Arabidopsis thaliana: one gene and its partners. The protein of the gene in region 4 purifies or fractionates together with the protein of the main gene of each other region. This does not show direct contact. Each region holds a gene or a part of one and is shown on either strand. Other genes may lie near its edges.

Region 1 (3,726 bases), on a different chromosome or scaffold from region 4:
CATCACGCTCTTGCTGGTTCGATGGGAAGGTGCAAGCGGCTCCTGCTGGGATGATCTGGTCGGTGTCTATGTTGTCTTTCAAGACATAGCAGAGGCCGTGGAAGGTTGTGTTGGCTAGGGCTTCGTTAGAGTCGGATTCTGAGGCGGCAGCACGTGGGATGATGGTCGGGGAGGATGTGCCACGTGAAGTGATGGAGATAGAGGAGGGGATTAAGGAAGTGGAACCATTGAATCTTAAGAAAGGAGATCGGAAGGTAGCCAAGGAGGAAGAAGTTTTGGTTGACGAGCAAGGTAAGGCTTGGGGAAATGTAGGAAGAGAATACGCCATTGTTTCTTTACTTTGTTGAGTGAGTGAGAGAGTTCACGATGAAAACAATTTAAAAGGAGAAATGTTTGTACCCTCCTATTTACGAAAGTGCCATTCAGAATTCCAAACGTGCGTTTTGATATACTTAGGTAGGTCACAGTGAAACAAAGACTCTAGATACGGATGCCTAAAAAGAAGTGTTAATATTTCTCTATACTATATGACAAAAGTGTGTTCGATCATTGTGTGAGAAAAACAGAGCTCCTGTTCTGTTCTCATGACCAGAAGATTATATTAGTGGAAGACATGAGAGAAAACGTCGTTTCAAATGGGATGGGAAACTATGCATTTTTTTAGCAGCTGATACATCCAAATGTAAACAAGAAACTGATACTGAAGACTAAAGCCGATAGTCATATATATTCATAAAACATAGATTAGGTTCATAAGCTTTTGGAAACATTACATATTCTTATTATTGGATCAAGATCCTTGAAGTGACTCTCATGCACTTCCATTGACACCTGCAAAACAAATAGAACAAAAAAAGGAAAAAAAAAAAGGAGTCTTAGAGACAAAATAAGAGTGAAGTATTGTTCTACTATCGGACACTCAAGTCTTAATGGATATGAGCATGGAAAAGATCAGCCAACATCATAACTTTTACCCTCCCAACAACTACAATCAAGAGATGTACAATCTAGAAATTGAACCAATGGAAAGATAAAGTAAGTCTTAAGCGAAGAGAAAGAATAACAAGTCATTATCAATCTCACACAAAAACTAAACCAACACATTTTAAACAACACAAAACTAGAATCCCAACTACTGTGTTCTCTTTCTCTAACTAGAACCATTGAAAACTATGTTTTGCATCGTTCAATTCAATGTCAAGCTTCCTAGACTATTCCACAAATTCGATCTCAATCCTAACCTATTACCAATCCTCATCATCATCATCATCAAGTTACAGAATCATACCTGAAGTCAAAATCAAGCAGCAGCAGATGGAATCATTCCAGCTTTCCTAGCATAAGCAAATATACCACCAGCATCAATCACTGGTCCAGCATCACCAATCGGCTTAAGCTTGTACTCTTTCCCAGTCGTATGATTGATCAAAATACTATCTCCTTCCCTCAACTCAACAGTCGCAACATCACCAGTTGTACACTCATCACAAACCCTAACTTCAGAATCCAAAGGATAAACCTCACCAGTAGCAACAGAGTTCCTGAAAAAGATTCTAGCATAAGACTGAGCCACCACTGCTTTAGCTCCCGCTGCTCCTAAACAAACCGGAGCATGTTCACGTGACGATCCACATCCAAAGTTTTCACCGCCAATGATGATTGAGTACTTCGTCTTCATCTCACCTGGCTGAACGAATCGTTCCTTGTAAGAAGCTGGAAGACCAACTAAAGCGTAAGAACCGAGTTTCTCGTATTCCTCTGGATTCGAAGGGACGAGAGTGAGAAACTCCGCGGGAATGATTTGGTCAGTGTCGATGTTGTCGCCGACGACATAGCACAGTCCATGGAAGGTTTTTCTTTCTTGTGGCTCGGCGGCGGAGCGAGTGACGAACGATGAGGATGCTTCTCGAGAAACTAGGGGTTTGAAATTGGAAGCGACGGATGTTGAATTGAATCTGAGAAATGGAGATCGGAAGGTGGCGAAGGAGGAAGGTTTGTTCGGAGAAGCTAGGGTTCGTGACAATGTAGGGTTTGCTGATTGCAGAGAAGCCGCCATTGTTTGTTTCTCTTTGCTGTGGTCAAGATTGAAGCAAGTCAACCAAAATGCGATTATAAATAGAGACTTTGTTCTTATTTACCAAAATGCCACTCTCCTTCGTTATTTCGGTGAAATGATAGTTAATTCTTTTGTAACAGTAATTGTTTTCTGTGTCAGTTATATGCTAACAGTAATTTAGAATTTGTTGGAGAGGTTAAAATGTAAAACACATTCATATTGATTTACGTATGTAAATGATAAATTCTAAAATTGAAGGGTCAAAAAGAGAGTAAATCAAAACTCTGAGATACTATGACATTTTTCAATATAAGTCCCTGTGGTTTCTTTTTGTTTTAAAAAGTTTTAAGTAGTTCTTCAAGAAGTAGCTTTTTGCCTCATCCATTTAGTAGCAGACCACTTTTCTCCAGACAGAACTTCACATCCTCCATGTATGCTCCTAGGATCTGACTGTCCGTCGAGTCCCTGAATAACACAAGAAGTAATTGAACTCAAAGCAGTCCAATTGATTCATGTTTGTGTAGAGACATAGAGAGAGAGATTGAAGAAACAAACCATGCTCCAGAAGAGAACTGCGTCTCCTTTGGTGGGTTTAACAGAGATGCCTTTCATGATTTTGCCACCACAGGTGCAATCACCATCACCAGCCTGCATTTCAAGTAGAGAGAGAGAGATATTACACCATTGGTTTATTTTGTTTTCTGAAATTTGCATGAACAGAGAGAAAGTGTTATACCAAAGGGAAATAAGTTTCTCCTCCTTCGACGTCATCAGTTAGATACATAAGCATAGTTGCTACGCGCTGACCACCACGCTTTAGATTGAACTGTGTAGCAACCATAAGAAAAGAAACGAGGAAATATGATGAACACCCACAATAAACGTACTTCCAAACTAAATGTTCTAAGATGATGAAGAAGGAGAAGATGAAGTACAGATCCAACTAAACATTATTGACCAAACCAAAAGTTAAATACTGTAGCCTCTTTTTAGTTTTTTTTTTAATCAGAGCAAAAGCTTTCTTTACCAATCTACTAATGATATATATATATGAAAACAGAACCAAAGACTTACAGTGTCAGCAAAGTAATCGTGATGTGGTTTGTAAAACTGCTGCGGCTCATATCTGCACTGCAGCAGATTTTGATTCATCAAAACAAGAAAAAAGCTTCGTTTACTTTAGATTTAAAAAATAGTAAGGTTGCGGTTGTGCACGCACCTTAGAACTTGAATAAGTTCTCCATTTTCCGCTGGTACTTGAGAAAAGACTGCAATTCGCTTTTCAATTGCCTAATAATAGCAAACGAAAAGGAATATAATTTACAAAATTGTAAAGTTGATCAAAATGGCACGCCTTTAAAAGATATGAGAGAGTGACTTACCTGTATTATTGGATAACTTCTTTCTACATGAGTTAGAAACATTCCGGAGCTTGTCCTCACGTCACTTTTAACTCCCTAAGCAAGAAGAAAGTGATAAGAAAATGGAAGAGTATGGTTAAGACTTTGAAAGCATAACTAGAATATGTCTACTATGGAAGAGAATGAATTAGACTTTGCAGGCAAACCTAGAGCGTTTCTATTTGTGTCCAATGTTTGATTGAAACAACTGAACAATCGAAGGCAGAGAGTGGATGTAATAGAAATTTTACTTCTTCTACAGAACTAAAA
Region 2 (5,248 bases), on a different chromosome or scaffold from region 4:
AATATTAACCAAGGTTATGAGATAATTGGTACCCTTGTCCGTGCATGTTTGTTGTTGGAGGAAGAAAGGAACAAATCAAACGTGAAAATGCATGATGTGGTTCGTGAGATGGCTCTATGGATATCATCCGATCTTGGGAAGCAAAAGGAGAAATGTATTGTGCGAGCTGGTGTTGGGTTACGTGAAGTACCAAAAGTCAAGGATTGGAACACTGTGAGAAAGATTTCTTTGATGAATAATGAGATTGAAGAGATATTTGACAGTCACGAGTGTGCTGCACTTACAACTCTATTTCTCCAAAAGAACGACGTGGTAAAGATCTCGGCTGAATTCTTTCGATGTATGCCTCATCTGGTGGTTTTAGATCTATCAGAGAATCAGAGTCTTAATGAATTACCAGAAGAAATATCAGAGCTGGCCTCTTTGAGATATTTCAACTTGTCATATACATGTATACATCAACTACCCGTTGGTTTATGGACATTGAAAAAGCTAATACATCTGAATCTCGAACACATGAGCAGTCTTGGGAGTATATTAGGGATATCAAATTTGTGGAATTTGAGGACATTGGGACTACGAGATTCCAGACTGTTGCTAGATATGAGTTTAGTGAAGGAGCTGCAGCTCTTAGAACATCTAGAAGTTATAACCCTAGATATATCATCAAGTTTGGTTGCAGAGCCATTGTTATGCTCTCAAAGGTTGGTGGAATGTATAAAAGAGGTAGATTTTAAGTACCTTAAGGAAGAATCAGTGAGAGTATTGACTTTGCCAACCATGGGTAATCTCCGCAAGCTCGGGATAAAAAGATGTGGAATGAGGGAGATAAAGATAGAGAGGACAACTTCATCATCGTCTCGGAACAAAAGTCCCACAACTCCATGCTTCTCAAACCTCTCCAGAGTCTTTATAGCTAAATGCCATGGTCTTAAGGATTTGACGTGGCTTTTGTTTGCTCCTAATCTTACTTTTCTTGAAGTTGGGTTCTCAAAGGAAGTAGAGGATATAATTAGTGAAGAGAAAGCTGAGGAGCATTCAGCTACGATTGTTCCTTTTAGGAAATTGGAGACACTACACCTGTTTGAATTACGCGGGCTCAAGAGAATCTATGCAAAGGCTCTGCATTTTCCGTGTCTGAAAGTTATCCACGTAGAAAAATGTGAAAAGCTGAGAAAGCTTCCATTGGATTCTAAAAGTGGGATCGCGGGTGAAGAACTTGTCATATATTATGGAGAGAGAGAATGGATAGAAAGGGTTGAATGGGAGGACCAAGCAACTCAACTCCGTTTCTTACCTTCATCCAGGTGGCGGTGGAGAGAAACATAATGAACTTCACTTTCTTCTACAAACTTTTGTTGTCATGGTCTAAAGACATTTGCCGGTGTGTAAATCTCTTCCTTGTCTCTTCTTGTTTGCATAACCGTTCTCATCGTTCTTTTGGTTAGTGATCATTGGATTTGTACTTATCTCTTTCTCTAAACGATGAGTGTTTGTTTCGGCTTCATAGAAACATTACACAGAGACTCATGAGAAAATGAATAAAAACTTGCAAGTTCCTAACCATTGTAATAAAATAATAATTAACTGTCTTATCTCGTTGACAGTTTTCGGATAAATTAGAAAAGGCGGGACCCACGTTAATTGGAAGATATCAACGGCTGGATCTGCTTACTCAGATCAACTTCAGCGAAAAAAATGCCACTCTCGTTGCAATCTCCGCCTTGTGCAACTCTCTCTGCTTCAATCCGAGTACTCTCCTCTTCGCTTACTTCTTTCAATCGCATGTATTTGTGCATTGTTTGTTTTTTATCTAATGGATGCGAGCTTTGAACTTCGCAGAAGGGACGATGGAAGACGCTCGCCGCCGGATTCTCCGTTACTCCTCTTCCCGCCGTTAACTTCAGTCTTCGGCGATCGATTCCTCGGATTCTTGCTTCCGCTAGTTCCTCCTCCTCTCCTGCGTCTTCGTCTCTCGAAGCTGGTATTTGTTTATATCTTTGATGATCGTGTTTCTCATTAATTAATAAATACGATTTCTGGAAAGACAAAACAAAAGTATGGGTTTTTGAAAGATTGACTACGATTCAAGCTTTCTTTTTATGTGGGTTTGTTTTTATACTGTCTTGAGTCACTTGTTAGGAAACTATGCTTGACAAAGTTGCTATTTTTGGTTTACCTTTCTTAGTTCAGGACCTTCTGGTTGCTTTAGTTCTTAGCTGAACAGTGTTGATTTATGGTTGAATTTGAAGAAACAAATTGTGTATTTGGTGTTTAACATTGTTCTTGGATGATATCGGTTTTCCTAAAGTTCTCAACTTTATTTCTTCTGGAATGCTTTTAGATGATCATTGAGTTGTTTGATGAAATTGTGTTTTTTTTTTCAGGTGAGAACAATGAGCTAAATGCTGTTTCAGCTTTTAGTGAGATTGTTCCTGATACTGTCGTTTTCGATGACTTTGAGAGGTATGATATATATCTCTACTTCATGAGACTTTAGTTACACTGGTATATCATAAAAATGGAGTCAGACATTCTTAACTTGAGATTGTACTGAGTTTTTCTCTGGATCGAGGATACAAGAAAGAAATTAGCTTAAGATGTAAAAACTCACTCCCTCACAAGTATAACTTCTAACCTTTAGTTATTGTGAAAACCAGATAGTATAACCTTTTGGTTTTCTAATTGTGCTGGATTGATACCTTTGTTGTATTTTACTGATCTGCAGGTTTCCGCCGACTGCAGCTACTGTTAGCTCTGCTCTTCTTCTGGGTATCTGTGGTCTACCTGATACCATTTTCCGCGTAAGCATTTCAAGAGTTTTGATTCTTAGATGATAGTATATGACATCTCTTGTTTTGGGCTCATTTAATTTTGACATTTTTACATCATGATTAGAATGCTGTGGACATGGCTTTGGCGGATTCTTCTTGTGCAGGGCTTGAAACCACAGAATCTCGACTCTCTTGCTTTTTCAATAAGGTTGATCTTCTTATCCCTTATCTGTTTTTCCACTTCCAGATCTTTGCTGCTTAAAAGCTTTTTTTGCCCTTATTACTGATGAGAAAAGTGCAGGCTATTGTCAACGTAGGTGGCGATCTTGTCAAACTCGTTCCAGGTCGAGTTTCTACTGAAGTGGATGCACGTCTTGCTTATGACACAAATGGCATTATCCGCAAGGTAGTTACTACACCATATATATAAGATAATTTGATTATATGTCTCCTGTATCTTCAAATCACTAACTTGTGATGTGATGATGTGTGTAGGTTCATGATCTGCTGAGACTATACAATGAAATCGATGTACCACACGACCGGCTCCTATTCAAAATCCCTGCAACTTGGCAAGTAAGATTATTTTCAGCAAATACCAAAGCTTTACCTTTTACTGGTCTCTTAGTATTGTGCTTATCCCTCTCATAGGGTATTGAAGCTGCAAGATTGTTGGAATCAGAGGGAATCCAAACGCATATGACCTTTGTTTACAGGTACCATAAAACATACCTTTTGACTCTTTTATTTTAGAATTGTCTATCCATCTGATTTGTTTACTTTATAATTTCGTTTTGCATTCATCAACAGCTTTGCACAAGCTGCAGCAGCTTCTCAAGCCGGTGCTTCTGTCATTCAGATTTTCGTCGGTCGCCTCAGGGTAACCATTTTTTAAACAGATGCTGCTAAGTGATTTCAGTGATATGCCAAAGTTAATATCTTAAAATCATTAGGATTGGGCGCGTAATCATTCGGGAGATACCGAGATTGAATCTGCTATTAAATCGGGAGAAGATCCTGGTTTGGCCTTGGTCAAAAGATCATATAACTACATTCACAAGTATGGTTACAAGTCCAAGCTGATGGCTGCTGCTGTCCGGAACAAACAAGACTTGTTCAGTCTTCTCGGGTAAACTCAAACTTCCAAATCATAGCTTCGACCATCAATGGATTCTGATCACATTCTAACTTTCAATGTTCTCTTCAATCTCAGGGTCGATTATGTCATTGCACCATTAAAGGTACTGCAATCTCTTAAAGATTCACCCGCCATTCCCGATGATGAAAAATACTCATTTGTTCGGAAACTTACTCCTGAAACTGCAACACATTACCACTTCACCAACAAAGAGGTTAGTTCTGAAGCTAACCAACACTCATTTGCTTCTGGTTTCACTAAACCAGTGTCTCACCCTGTTTGTTTGATTCTGGTTTAGCTGGTCAAATGGGACCAGCTAAGCTTGGCTTCATCTATGGGTCCTGCATCAGTGGAGCTTTTATCAGCCGGTGTTGAAGGTTATGCGAACCAAGCGAAACGTGTTGAAGAGCTTTTCGGGAAGATTTGGCCACCTCCTAATGTCTAAATACACAGCTTTTCTCTTCATCAATAAGGATCTGTATCAATAAGAGAACTAAGTGTCCATGTTACTTGAACACTACCCTGTTTATCTTCCTGCCCTCTTTATCTTTTTCGTGGCTTGTTGTTCATCATGTCTGAGACTTGGGCTACAAGATAAGAGACTTTAGTTTTAAGACTAAAAGTCTAAAACCAAATCCTTTTCATGTTGTTTCGTCTGAACTTCGGTCTTTTTTTCTCTGTAATTGACTTAGTCGGTTCTCAGATCTCTGAGTCATGATTGTACCGATAAACCAAAATTGAACCGATTGTTTTTGTAAAACCAATCGGGTTCTATTAAAGTTCAAACTAAACTAAAAATTTAACTATGGACTGAAAATAAATAAAAAAATTCTTAGACAAAAAAAAGTTGGACATAGGCCAAACACTGTTTGTTTGACAAATTCTAAGATAAATGATAAAAAGATGAGTTTTTTTAGGGCGAGAAAGACGGTTTAAATCCAAAAAAAAAATTGGGAATTTATGTGTACCAAATGATAAATATCATGAAGACAATGAAGAGGATCAACATAAACTTATCAATCTCAGTCAGATGCATTATCTGATGTCTAGTCACTTCTCTATCCACCTTCTTTAATGTCATTTAGTAATTTTCACACAAGCAGAAACGTACCATGTTATAAATCTTATCTTCTAATGTTTACAAATTCGTACGTCTTACATTTAGTTGTTGACAAAAAAAAAAGATAATTGAAATTTAGTTCAATCATTTTTTTCCTGTGTGATTGCGTTTTTCCTTTGACGACATGTTGTTTGTGATTAATTATTGTGGGTTCATACCAATAATTATGAAATACCTAGATTATTTTTTAAAATATAGCTCGATTTAAATGTAGTG
Region 3 (7,888 bases), 6.0 Mb from region 4:
CCAATTCTATTAATAGGAAAACGGATGACAACCTCCTGGATCATTTCTTAGTATTTGTCATCACTCTTCCCCTGAATCATTGATCAACCTGACAACCTCTATACCAATTCAAAAGATTGTCTCCCATTTGAACTAATATTTTCATATACATGAAAAATCCTATTACTGTAGCCAAGGCACTTTTGAAGCTAATGATCAGGTAGGAGAAGTGATTTCAACCCACTGTTGTAATACATGATTGCATAATCAAAACCAATCTATGGAATCCACATTTGAAATATTTTGGCCCGTTTTAAAATATTTTTTTGGTAACGTTTTTTAACGGATTTTTGATTTCTGCAAATTTTGGCGCGCTTTCCACTTTCAAACTGAATTTTTGAAAGAATCTAAATGGCATGCGATCATAATTAACACTTTTTAAGATGTAAGATCCTTCATATTTCATAACCATAATTAATTTGATAGACAATAAATGATTGCATAATGTTCCACTGTTGTGATAGATGATTGCATAATCAAAACCAATCTATGGGACAAAGCCACATTTGAATTATTTTACAGATCTATACGACATATTCGAACTTAAAAAAAAAACAATAAAAACAAACAAAACTCAGTCGTTTTTAAAGCCAGTCGCTAGTTATAGTCGCAGCGACACTTAAACGAACCGGCCCGAAGTCTCTCATAAAAATTGCGATTGCGTTTACATGTTTACCTAATATATTAAATTCCAATTTAAATGAAAGAAATCAATTTTAATCAATTTCCTTTTTAGCAAATTGTTTTGATTTTTTATTTTTTTTTGGTTGCCATAGACGACATTTGTTAGGTTGTTTCAAATATTGGACTTAAATTTTAAAATTGAAAACAAGCAAGGTTATGTGAAAAAGCAATTGGTTTACAGTTTAAGGTTTAGGAAAAATAAGACTAGAAGCAGATTAAAAACATTTGATCTCAAAAACTAGAAACGTGCCAAATTAAAGTATCAACGAAATACATGGAGATTTTAAAAATTATGATCTCTTATGTAGATTACAGTTTTAACGGACATAAAAACGTTGACGTAACATACATGAATGAAAGGTGGGTATATTAATTAGGTAAGGCAGTGTGTGGACTGTGGAGACTCGGTTTTTCTCACTCTCATCAGTCATCACTCATCATTTTGTAGGGACGCCTTGGTAGGGTTTACATATTATCCTGTCACCTAAGTGCCACTATCTTCTTGTTTTACGATAATTACCGACGGCCAGGATCATCGTGTTGTAATCAGTTTAGTTTACGCGGAGTCTGGTGGATTCAATTATGAAAGCAGTGTTCTTCACTAGCCAAAACCTATTAAAGGAAAAGCTCGTAAATGTCTACATCGAAGATGCTCTCCCATTTAGAAAAAAACATACATTGCCAAATTACTAAACATCAAAACTTTCCACTACACAGCCTAGATTATCCCATCCGTCGCCTTTGCCTTGAAATCAGTTTTGAGTTATTTCGTTAAATGTAGACAAATTTGTGACAAGAAAAATGGGTAATTTATTCAAGATCCAAACACACCCTCCCAAACGATTTCCCACACCGAAATCGTTTAGTACATACAATTTTTCTTCTGCTTTTCAATGCTTCGAATTTCTAAAACAAAATCAGTTTTTAAAATCCGATTACAACAAAAAAAAAAATCCTTATTCCGGAGACTCGAATTCTTCAGATAGCATAAACTCACACCCAAAGGTTTATAGACACCTTTTGTTCACGTCCCATTTTCTTAGTACAGCAGCTCTTCGAACACGGGATCTACGCTTTGTCCCCATTCTCCATTGTACATCTCCAAGAGCTTCTCCGCAGGCGTAACTCCTGTCATTTCAAAACCAAATTTCACCACCAGGTTATCAAACAAAATGTCGGTGTGGAATTCAATTATGCATTAGGAAACTTCATTTACCTGTTCTGACCACTTCATCGACTGCGTTCAAGAAACCGGCTTCCTTGTAGCCTCTGCGCTCTAAACCATCCTGAGAAACAAAGAGAAAATAAGTCCAATAGTTAGAAGCTGGACCAGACGGGATAGAAAGCTGGCTCGAAGTTTCTAAGAGGGTTCATACAAACACACCTTTGCGAGTTTCAGGACATCTTCAGCGACATGCTTTAACAAACCATCCCTAAAAGGAGTCTTTAAGCCAGTAACTGGGACCTGTTGGAAATCAAGTATTAGTTTATTACAAGATGTTTTCTAACTGTGGAATAAGAAAATGTAAATGTGGTGCGTCTTGTTATTACTTTGTTCCTTAGCATCTCTCTCTCTGCTGGAGTCCAGTCAGCTGTCAGATCCAGGATAGCTTGGAGACTATCATCATCATATAATAAACCCACCTGAAATTTGTAGATAAAATCAAAACAACAGTCAATACTTTTTGAAACATTCTCATTAAGCACGAAATATATATGTGCTAATAGATGTAGTTACCCAGAAAGCTGGCAGGGCACACAGCCTCCTCCAGGGACCTCCATCAGCACCTCTCATCTCCAAGTATCTCTTCAACCGAACCTAGTGTTATGGAACGTTGTCAGACTTCAACATAAGACAGGGAAATGAAAGTCATAGGCTGATTGAAAGACTCTTGAGGCAGATGATTAACCTCTGGGAATATTGTTGTCAGATGGTTTTCCCAATCATTATATGAAGGCAGTTCACCAGGGAGACAGGGAAGTTTTCCAGCCAAGAATTGCTGCAGCATGAAGAATATTATGAGATTAGATATAATTCAAGAAGATCCCATGGTTTTCAATTTGCCAATTCCTTGCAATGAAACAGTTATAGAACCTAACAGAAAAGATTAAGGATAGATTTTGACCCGAAATGTCATTCCAGTACAGTCGATGTATTTGTTCTTTCTGTAGGCAAAGTACATAGGGACATCGAGTGCGTAGTCAACATACTGCTCAAACCTATACCAGATAAGAACAAAAGAGAGCAATAAAATTAAGATTAGCCATGCTGTTTCAAGAGAAGGATAAAGATCCAAAGCATCTTTCTATCTTGAACACAAACATATGTAAGAAAATCCACAGAATAGCACATATCAATTTTCCAATAACTCATCAAGAATGCGAGACAGAGTCATTGGTTTTTGAGAAGCTTCTCATACCAAACCAACCAATGTAATGTAATTGTTTTTCATAGATTAAACATCGATACTCACCCAAAAGAGTCATCGAAAACAAATGGTAGCATTCCTGTGCGGTCCTTGTCAGTGTCTGTCCATATGTGGCTGTCAAAACATACCAGAGTTATAAGGTGGGAGGGAAACTAATTCAAAAAGATATCGGGGATCATAACAACTGAATCTAGATACCTTCTCATGCTGAGAAATCCGTTTGGCTTTCCTTCTGTAAAAGGGGAATTCGCAAATAGAGCCGTTGCTATCTGTTGAATTTAGATAATAGTGAGGCAATGGTTAGTCAAAATCGTTAATAAAAGTTTCTGGTTATGCCACAAAGAGATCGAGCTTCTCACAGGTTGTAAAGCAAGACCAGCACGAAACTTCCTGATCATATCAGCTTCTGAGCTAAAATCCAGATTAACCTGTCAAGATTGCAAGTAATGCAGTTTCTATAAGTTTCAAAATAAGATTATTGATGAGAACTGGAAAGTTTAGTTTAAGGAAATTATGAAAAGGCGCAAAGTCAGAATATTAATCTAACCTGAACAGTACACGTTCGGAGCATCATATCAAGACCAAGGGTACCAACTTTCGGCATGTAGTTTCTCATAATGTCGTATCTCCCCTGCACAGAACACATTACACTATGTCAAATCTTACTGCCTGACTCGTCATAGGAAAACTTAACACAAACACCAAGAAATAATCCGAACGTTGGCTATGTAGAATCAGATAATATTATCTGAATTAGAAACAAACAGATGTTAACTTTCTTCAATCTTAAGAATAGAGAAAGCGTCATACCTTTGGCATGATGGGTATATCCTCCCGACGCCATTTGGGCTGGAAGCCAATTCCTAAGAAACCAATTCCCATTTCCTCAGCAACTGCTTTTACCTGTGACATCCGTAGATAGTTGGTTATTTGTCACGTTTTAGGGTGAGAGCATTGGCAATAATTATCTTTGAAATTACCTGATAAAGATGTGAATTGACTTCAGCACAAGTTTGATGCAAAGTCTCAAGAGGTGCACCACTAAGCTCGAACTGACCCCCAGGTTCAAGTGAAATGCTTTGCTTTCCCTGGTCAACAAAAGGACAGAACGAGTTATCTACAGCAAAAAAAAAAAAAAGACTGAAACCTTATAATATACCGATCATTGTGTTGTATATGAAGCTAACATGTTCTACAGGCTGAAAATGTATATAAATAATAAACGGCTCAAAAGATGAAACACAGGAGAATGTTAACCTGCTTCAGACCAATGATCTTGTCACCTTCCATTACTTTTTCCCATTCAAATCTTTCAGCGATACCATTAAGAAGCTCGGCTATTTGATCATACTTCATAGGGCGCAAAGTATTGACCTCAAAACCAAATTTCTCATGTTCTGTACCTATTCTGAAAACTCACAATGTTAAGTTAGCAAAACAGAATATTTCTCCAATAGACAAACAATCTGGATGAATTCAAACAATACCAACACCGTAAAAGAGCACAAACAAAGAAATATGTCACAATTACAAACACTAAGTAGCATTTTAACAGAACATATAAGCATCAAACTGTACCTATATTTGTCCTTTGTTTTGCATCCAGAGGCAAGATAGGCAATGAGATCCTCTCTCGTCAACGGCTCAGTTGCAACTACAGCCTCTTCCGTTGGAGGACTTGCCGCAACAATCAATTGATGCCCTCTCTTACTCCTCTTAACAGAATGGAGAAGCATTGATTTGGTAGATAGACTCCTAGAGTAGGAGCTACCAAAAGCTTCTTTCATCCTCAAAACATCCAAATTCCTCACGCCACCCGAAACAACAGCTTTAGTTCCAGCCTTTGAACAAACTCCAGAAGGAACAACAGTGTATGATCCTCCTGCTTGAGACAAGAGCGCCATGGTATATATAGCTCCTGCAATTATAACAATTCATCATAAGCTATGAGAAATCACAAATAACTGCATTTTTCTCAATTCTAATAACATATATCACATAATTAGAATCAGCAGCTACCACAGAATTGAACTATCATCTGGAAGAACAAATCAAAATTCGTGTATCACCAAACCAGAAACAACAACAACAACAAAAATCAAATCAAAGCAAAAATCTGCAAAAATTCGACTCTAACAAAACCAAAATCATGCAACAGCCAAAAAAAAATCATGAGAAAAAGCGAAGATTCAACCAAAAAAAAAAAAGCAGAACAAATCAATCAAAAACCAAAATCCACAAGTCCAGAAAGCGAAGAAGAAGAGAAGCAAATCACACCTGAAATTCGTCAAGCTTGACGGAGATTGAGAGACACCGTCGAAATCAAGAAGAAAGCTTAAAGAGCAAAAACGAATCGGCGTTTCAAATTTATATGCGACTGAGAGAGAAATGAGAAACTGATAAAAAAATGAAAGAAAGTTGATCAGTGGAGCATGAGCCGATCAGTGGAGCTGAGCTGTCTATAAAAGAAAGTTGATAAAATTAATAATCATTGTAATAAAAGATTCTTTCGTTTTTTGCCTCTTACTTTTCCATTTCTCACAAATTTAACCCTAATAGTTTTTTAAATAACCAGTTTATTAGTAGTTTAAACAAAGGTTAACTTTATAGTGTGTATAATGAATTAATGATATTTCTATTCTTTATAGTATACTTTAAACGAGGTTTAACTTTACGATATTTAATTTAGAACGTAAAATAATGAAAAGTGTGTCACTAACCAACCACATGACCTCAGATAAAATACTCTATAGGAAAAGAAATATATATACTACTATAAAAAACAGTATCATTATCTATTTGGTTTGATTGTGTCGACAAAAAAATCTTGGTTCTGATGAACGAAAATTGGCGTTATGTTTTTATATTTCCTACTTCTTAGTAGGTGGAATCAAATCCTGCTTTTATAATCAACAATTTAATGATACAAAAACATGTGAATGGTAGATAATGAATCACCATCAAAAGTTCTACTTGTGTATAATAATATATATAGATACGGGATGGATTTGACAATATCCCAATTATAACAATGGAAGGCTATTTGTCTATATTGTTCATGGAATAGTATGGTACCATGGTGGTCATTTACCTTATTTTTAGAAATAACTGTATTTTTAGTAGTAAACACAATTATGGCTATATATCACCTAATTTCTCTATCTGAGTTTGATTTTGTATTCGTGACAAAATCATAGTAAAACAAGTTTAGAAATTTTGTTTACTATTTGGTAATCTACAAAATCCTTCAAATTCCATGGTATTTTTCACATACTTTCGAGAATTTGGTTTTCTCAAAATGAGAAAAACTAATTATTGTGTTAAGTTTTTTTTTTTTTTTTTTTTTGAATGTTATAACACATTTGAGTTTTGTTATAATTTAAAATCTTAAAATTCGAGCTTCGTTCTAATTTCATTATATCGCACAGATTGACTCTATCTTTTTTTTTTTTTTTAATTGACTCTATTCAAATTTTACTACAAGATCCATTATTGTGTTACATATCGATACTCCTATGAATTATGAAGCTGTGCTAAAAAAACATGTGGCATTAGTAATTTATTTATTTGATATCAATTATGGCTGCCATTGAAAAACAAATAGATGCAGAATTGCTTGCGTTTGCATATACGTAACGTAAGTAAAAACTAAAAACTCTTGTAGCGACAAAAATAGAAAAACAAAAAAAACTCTTGTAATTGTGCACTTCTATGTTGTATGTTTAAATTAATATCAAATATATTTTATCGAACACATGAATGAATAAGTTATAAGAAGGTAAGGTAGGTGGACACGTGCGTGACTCAAAAATGGCGGCCATGACTTCTAATCTCCACACCACCAAAGCCTTAAACGGAACCCACCTCCACAGTTTCTTCCTATACATTCGTCACTCACAAGTCACACCGTTTCAACTTTCACGAAAACTTATCTAAAAAATAATAATTAACATTTGACATAATGGAAAATCACATTAATATATAGCCGTCAAAGAGTGAAGTCAGAAATCCTAAAACGATACGGAATTAAGCTGGAGTGTGCTATGCAGACTCTTTCAGTTAATCTTTTCCTTTATATTCCAACCTTAACGTTTTCTAATATCCACGAGAAACCCTAAACTTTCGATTTCACATTAAAGACCCCAATCCTCAGCACAAAGTAACTAAATGCATCAGACATAGTAGCTAGCTATTTGCGCTTATAATGATTTGAAGTTACCAAAAGATTTTCTTCCTAGGGATTAAGAGAAAAGTAACATCTGGGATTGTCATGGCAAGCCCAACTCATAAGTCTCACCGAAGCCCAACTACACATATTCTTAATATGGCCGAAGAGGTAGATGATACACAATCTTGAAAAGTTGTTCTAAGTGGCTGTTGGTGTTGGATTCTCACATTTGAACTCGGCCTATTCAAGGCCCATAAAGAAAGCTTATATAGGTAACATCGAGCTACAACATTCCGGAGCTTCATGACTCTCACCAGGCCCAAGTCACATCAGTTTAGCTCGTGATGGCCCTATACAGTTTGAGCAAGTCAAAATAAAACGGGCATATCTAACAAATTAAAAAGGAAACGTTAAATTGGTAGACATCGAGATGGGGACGTTATGATTTGCATGGATTGACTAAGGAGGTCGTATAGACCAGGGTCACTTCTTTCTAGAAAACAAGCTAGAAAATAGATCAAGAGCCTTTTTTAATTCCAATCTTTTATCTTTGTAAATCAGTTCGATT
Region 4 (4,787 bases):
AGATCAATTCGGTTTGCTTTCTTCTTCAGAAGAATTCTGCTTTCACCAAACTCATCTTTTCCTTTATAAGGGAGTAATATCTTCACCGTCCATTGAAGGGACCTACAAGATAGGTATTAGGTGAAGCTTTCCTTTGAAGACTAGATTGAGAGATCTCTGAATTTATTTCAAGGTGGTGGCATGGAATCTTCAGCTGATGGAATCCGGCGAATTATGTGGAAGAAGCTCTTGGTGTTGATTTGATTAAGCCCGACCGACGGAGCAGAGGTGGATCGTGGATCAGCCGGCAACGTCAGTTTCAACATCTCTTCATCTCACGTTGGACACGTGTTGGCAACGTGGCACTTTTTTTGTCTTAGCCTTATCTTTAGAATTGGGTGGGTTAAGCTGTGCTTTAAATTTTAATCAAAGTTGTAAATGGTGAGGGATTGGGCCTTTCATCAGCATCTGTAACACCCTTTATTGGGTTTTAATATCCAATATGAAATTTGGCCGACAAAAAAAAAAAAAAAAAAAAAACATAAATGGCTAAATAAATCCCACTCTAAAATTAATGATGATGAATCACATACATCATCTTCTTCTTTTTTTCTTGAATTTATTTGTGTTTTTTTTCTTCCTTTAAACGTTTAATTCCATAGATAATACATAAGCACAAGAGTAAAATCATAAATAAGACGAGAGATTGGTTCCACACATTGGTTGGTTCAACCCCTCAATGAATATTTTTTACCACTAAAAGCTTGGAACTTGGCTTCCTTCTCAGCCTCTTCCTCTTGCTTTCTATCTTTCCCAGCTCCAACCTAAGTTACAGATAGATCAACATTATATTTCTACTCCATCTCTTATCTCTGATACCATTTTTTGCACATACTACTTTTAAACAAGTTATTTACCTTTGTTGTCTCTTTAGTAGACCGCTCTACATTTGAACCGAACACAAGTTTCCCTCGATTTTGTTGCGTAGCCTTCTCTGACCCACTACTACTACTACTTGCAACAGGATGTGATTGGCCGTTACTGTTAGCAGCACCAGGTTGCGGTTCATAGGATAAAGGTCGTCCATCCAAACGTCTTCCCGAACCCGTGAAAGGGTTAAACTTTGGTTCTGCTTCAGCCACATCAACCTCCTTAGCTGTATCAAAAAAAGAAGACCACATTAGAATCTAACAGCTTGGAGCTAATTTCATGTCCAATTCATACAAATCACCTTTTGCTTCACCTTTGGCTGGAGCAGGTGCTACAGGTCGTTCGGGTTCCTTGTAATCAAGGGGAGGTGCGAAATCAACCTCGCAATCAGTTTCAATGATGCTAATACCATTAGAAGGCTTTGCCTCCACTATGTCTATGAAGTATTTCTTATTGTTGTATGGGACCATAATGCTATCTCCGACCGTTAGACATGAATAGTTCCTCAATGCGGTCTCCAAGCTGCAGCAGAAACACAGGAACCGGTTCAATATACACAGAGTACGGTATTCGCAAAGAATTCAAAGTCTAGATGGAGACAAAAATACAAGAGGGGGAGGAGTAAGTCGGAATTACATGGCTTTCGGGTTAGCTATATCGAGAAAGTCTGTTGTGTGGGGTTGCAGTTTCACGTAGGTTCCCTTTGGAAGAGTGACATTTCTAACTCTCACCATGTCTCCTTCTTGCAACAGCAAATTCTGCATCATCTGCAAAAGCAAACAATCGATTTTAAGTCACAAGATATCGAGTATCTTGTATTGGTGATAAAAACAAGCTACTGTTTGTTACCCAGTAGGGAATGTAAATCACGCCTTCTTCTGCGATGAACTCAAGGACTCCGCAGTGAGAAAAACTATCTGTTGAAGCATTACGAAGTTCAAAGAGCATTGGATAATCAATCTGCAAAGAAGCTGTAAACAGTGATGGATGTAAGTGGCTCTGGATAATCAAATGAAATCCGAAAAAGAAGCTGGAATCATTAAGCAAAGGAAGAAAATGTACCTAGACGATCAAGGGCTGATGGTGGCATTATAACTGAAAATAGATATCAAAGAAATCAAATTACAAAACTTGAGCATTATAAAGAGTAACATAAACTTGGAAAGACACATTATTTGTAAGATTAAAGACTTACTCTTGTCACCACTTTCAATTTGAGGCTATGAAAAGAAAAAAGAAAAAAGAAAAGAGATGTTAGAATTGGGGTTGTAAACATTGCACAAGTTCTCCAATTTTACATATATAAGCATATAAAATAATAAGTAAGGAACTTTGAAATCAAACCTTATCAATAAAGGATGAGGGATAACACCGGTAAGTCTGCTCAAAGGTAGTTCCATGATAAGCGTATCCATCGTAAAACTGCAATTGCAGGGACACTAACACATGAGATGGAAGAACAGTTACTAGATAGATTGAAATTACTGATTTAAGAGAAAAGTTACCATCTTTCAACTGGTAGATAAACAAGAGTTAACGCCAACTGTCAAAAAGGAAGACCAAATTAATAGTCATTTAGCACAAGTAAGCAGACGTATAGGCAAGATCATCTACAACTCGCGTCGAAACGCACAAAACCCAACCTTTCGATTCCTAAACGAGTACTCCACAATTCTAACGAAACGAATCTACCATGGTGACACCCAAACGTACAAATCCGACCATAATTGGGCTTAAAGCGCGAACCAAAACGGAAACCTAGAATTGGAAGCTTCCTTCTCGCGAGAATTGACAATCGGAGAAAACAGAGATAGAGAGAGAGAGTACCTGCTTGTGAGAAGAAGAATCAATTGGTCGCGTGATTCCCGCAAGGTAAGTCGTATCGTCTTCACGTCTATCTCCTTCTTTATATACCGTATACGGCGTCTTACATTAATATGGGCTTGGGCTTAAGTTCTAATTCGGCTTTGGGCTTTGAATTATTAACGACAAATGTGTGCGATAAGGAATGAGAAACTTTGTAGTTAACCAGACGCATGTTAAAAATGATAGTTAACAGACACATCCACATGTTCAAAATATATATATACGATAGGAGTTTGGGCTTCTTTCATCATCTGTACAGCCCAATGGGCTCTGTTCATTTTAACGAAATTAAACTGGTCGACAAATATATATATATATATATATACACGATAAAACCCAAAAACAAAACAGAAAAATATTCAAAAAAGTTTCATAAACAAGATCAAATCGAGTTTTTCTGGAATTTTATTAGGAAAATGATAAACGATATAAATAGGGTGTCTCCCACAGTTATCTTACTGGGAACAGAAGAATCCGCAACGGTCTCATTACAAACATAACAGAAGGGTGAAAACGGAACAACGCTTTTGATGATGATGTGTGGTTTTTGTTTCGAGAAGACATGCCACAAGGAACAAAACCACTGTGTCTCTCTACTAACCTGACAAACAATATAAGAAGATCCCGGCTCTATGAAGAGACCGGTGAAAAGGGGAAGAAAGAATCATGCGGACTTCAAGAACCGCACTCTTTTCTCATTCGGCTCTGGACTGACCAGCTCGGGAGGACAAAATGATCCCGACGATGAGACCGTATAGAGCAAGAGCTTCAGCGAAAATGAGGATAAGAATCATACCAACGAAAAGCTTTGGCTGTTGAGCATTGGCCCTGTCATCAAACCACAAATTTGCGTATCAAAATGATATAACAGGGGATAGACACTCACAATTGAATTGATATTTCTTCCATTATATTTCATCCTAGAGAAATACGCCATGGCACAAGACATCTCACAGAAGCATGTAATGAACTGATATTTCTTCCATTATAGATTCAACAGTCAGTGAATTGCACATATTCCCTACCAAATTTTCATCAAGTTGAATTGTGACACTAAACTCATGATATTCTGATTCATAAGGGAGATATACTTGTATAAAATTGAGTCTTTTAGCAAATTAGGCTATAAGAGTGAATCTGCAAAGAAGGACACAGAGGATCGTACCTGACACCAGCATCGCCAACGATACCTATGGCCATTCCAGCTGAAAGACCAGCTAGCCCACAAGCAAGACCAGAAGAGAGATGAGCATATCCGTCGAAGAGGTAGTAGGATTTAGCCTTGGGGTTAATCCCGGTACTGATGATAACAGCAATAATCAAACCATAGATACCCAACACACCAGCCATAACAACTGGGACAATAGACTTCATCACCAACTCCGGCCTCATCACACCCATAGATGCCACTCCCACACCACTCTTTGCTGTCCCGTACGCAGCTCCCATACCTTGTTAATAACACAAAGATACACACTCTTTAAGGTCACAATCTAACTATGGTTTACACAAGTAATCAACATGCCTTCGATATGAAGAAAAAGCATAATTGACATAGATGAAAGCAACTCAGCAATTTTGATGGTAACAACGGTAAATCTGTACTTATGCAATTAGTACCAGTCACAGCAATCACAAAACCTGGCAACTCCAGCAAATTTCCCTAGGTAATTTCGATATGTTGGACAAAGAACAGGACACCAAGAAATTCTTTTTTTTTTGTCGGGGACACCAAGAAATTCAACACATACAGATCTAAGCCAAAAAGTCTTAGTTTCTAGAAGATCAGCCTAGACTACATCACCAATGGAGAAAAGACAAAGAAAAAGGATTTAAAACCAGCGTAGAGCAGTTCCATAAGAATTTGATCCACTGACTAAAGATAATAAACTAGAATTTTCGAAAAGGAGAGACATATAATAGTTCAGTGATATCGCTTAGCCTAAACAAATCTAGAGAGAAATTTCTAAGAAAAATCATGAGCAACACACAGATCGGTGAACTTCTCAGGG

The links.
Region 1: the proteins of AT4G38930 (region 4) and AT2G43090 fractionate together in Arabidopsis thaliana (co-fractionation; one large-scale study listed by BioGRID). This does not show direct contact.
Region 2: the proteins of AT4G38930 (region 4) and AT1G12230 fractionate together in Arabidopsis thaliana (co-fractionation; one large-scale study listed by BioGRID). This does not show direct contact.
Region 3: the proteins of AT4G38930 (region 4) and GSH1 fractionate together in Arabidopsis thaliana (co-fractionation; one large-scale study listed by BioGRID). This does not show direct contact.

The regions. Positions count from the first base shown.
Region 1 is NC_003071.7:17,917,287-17,921,012, reverse strand, and holds AT2G43090 (Aconitase/3-isopropylmalate dehydratase protein), read right to left. Parts: upstream 2,088-3,726; 5' UTR 2,057-2,087; coding exon 1,301-2,056; 3' UTR 1,289-1,300; intron 832-1,288; 3' UTR 517-831; downstream 1-516. Other genes in the region: IPMI2 (isopropylmalate isomerase 2), read right to left, coding at 1-328; AT-P4H-1 (P4H), read right to left, coding at 2,414-2,521, 2,612-2,704, 2,793-2,882, 3,131-3,182, 3,276-3,346, 3,439-3,513. UniProt on the Arabidopsis thaliana protein: Catalyzes the isomerization between 2-isopropylmalate and 3-isopropylmalate, via the formation of 2-isopropylmaleate. Plays an essential role in leucine biosynthesis.
Region 2 is NC_003070.9:4,146,352-4,151,599, forward strand, and holds AT1G12230 (Aldolase superfamily protein), read left to right. Parts: upstream 1-1,610; 5' UTR 1,611-1,698; coding exon 1,699-1,752; intron 1,753-1,842; coding exon 1,843-1,984; intron 1,985-2,387; coding exon 2,388-2,466; intron 2,467-2,558; coding exon 2,559-2,624; intron 2,625-2,728; coding exon 2,729-2,804; intron 2,805-2,898; coding exon 2,899-2,982; intron 2,983-3,075; coding exon 3,076-3,180; intron 3,181-3,269; coding exon 3,270-3,350; intron 3,351-3,425; coding exon 3,426-3,490; intron 3,491-3,584; coding exon 3,585-3,654; intron 3,655-3,727; coding exon 3,728-3,903; intron 3,904-3,987; coding exon 3,988-4,126; intron 4,127-4,210; coding exon 4,211-4,357; 3' UTR 4,358-4,705; downstream 4,706-5,248. Other genes in the region: RPS5 (Disease resistance protein (CC-NBS-LRR class) family), read left to right, coding at 1-1,329.
Region 3 is NC_003075.7:12,101,696-12,109,583, forward strand, and holds GSH1 (glutamate-cysteine ligase), read right to left. Parts: upstream 6,001-7,888; 5' UTR 5,430-6,000; intron 5,071-5,429; 5' UTR 5,057-5,070; coding exon 4,731-5,056; intron 4,561-4,730; coding exon 4,410-4,560; intron 4,241-4,409; coding exon 4,133-4,240; intron 4,056-4,132; coding exon 3,963-4,055; intron 3,784-3,962; coding exon 3,700-3,783; intron 3,581-3,699; coding exon 3,512-3,580; intron 3,422-3,511; coding exon 3,351-3,421; intron 3,267-3,350; coding exon 3,198-3,266; intron 2,944-3,197; coding exon 2,850-2,943; intron 2,724-2,849; coding exon 2,634-2,723; intron 2,543-2,633; coding exon 2,462-2,542; intron 2,368-2,461; coding exon 2,275-2,367; intron 2,189-2,274; coding exon 2,108-2,188; coding exon of another isoform or gene 2,084-2,107; exon of another isoform or gene 2,010-2,083; coding exon 1,940-2,009; intron 1,852-1,939; coding exon 1,763-1,851; 3' UTR 1,666-1,762; exon of another isoform or gene 1,404-1,665; intron 613-1,403; 3' UTR 440-612; downstream 1-439.
Region 4 is NC_003075.7:18,147,537-18,152,323, reverse strand, and holds AT4G38930 (Ubiquitin fusion degradation UFD1 family protein), read right to left. Parts: upstream 2,792-4,787; 5' UTR 2,737-2,791; exon of another isoform or gene 2,553-2,736; intron 2,453-2,552; 5' UTR 2,418-2,452; coding exon 2,415-2,417; intron 2,332-2,414; coding exon 2,254-2,331; intron 2,130-2,253; coding exon 2,105-2,129; intron 2,005-2,104; coding exon 1,972-2,004; intron 1,881-1,971; coding exon 1,759-1,880; intron 1,677-1,758; coding exon 1,546-1,676; intron 1,432-1,545; coding exon 1,211-1,431; intron 1,136-1,210; coding exon 897-1,135; intron 804-896; coding exon 708-803; 3' UTR 548-707; downstream 1-547. Other genes in the region: VHA-C3 (vacuolar-type H[+]-ATPase C3), read right to left, coding at 3,471-3,603, 3,941-4,226.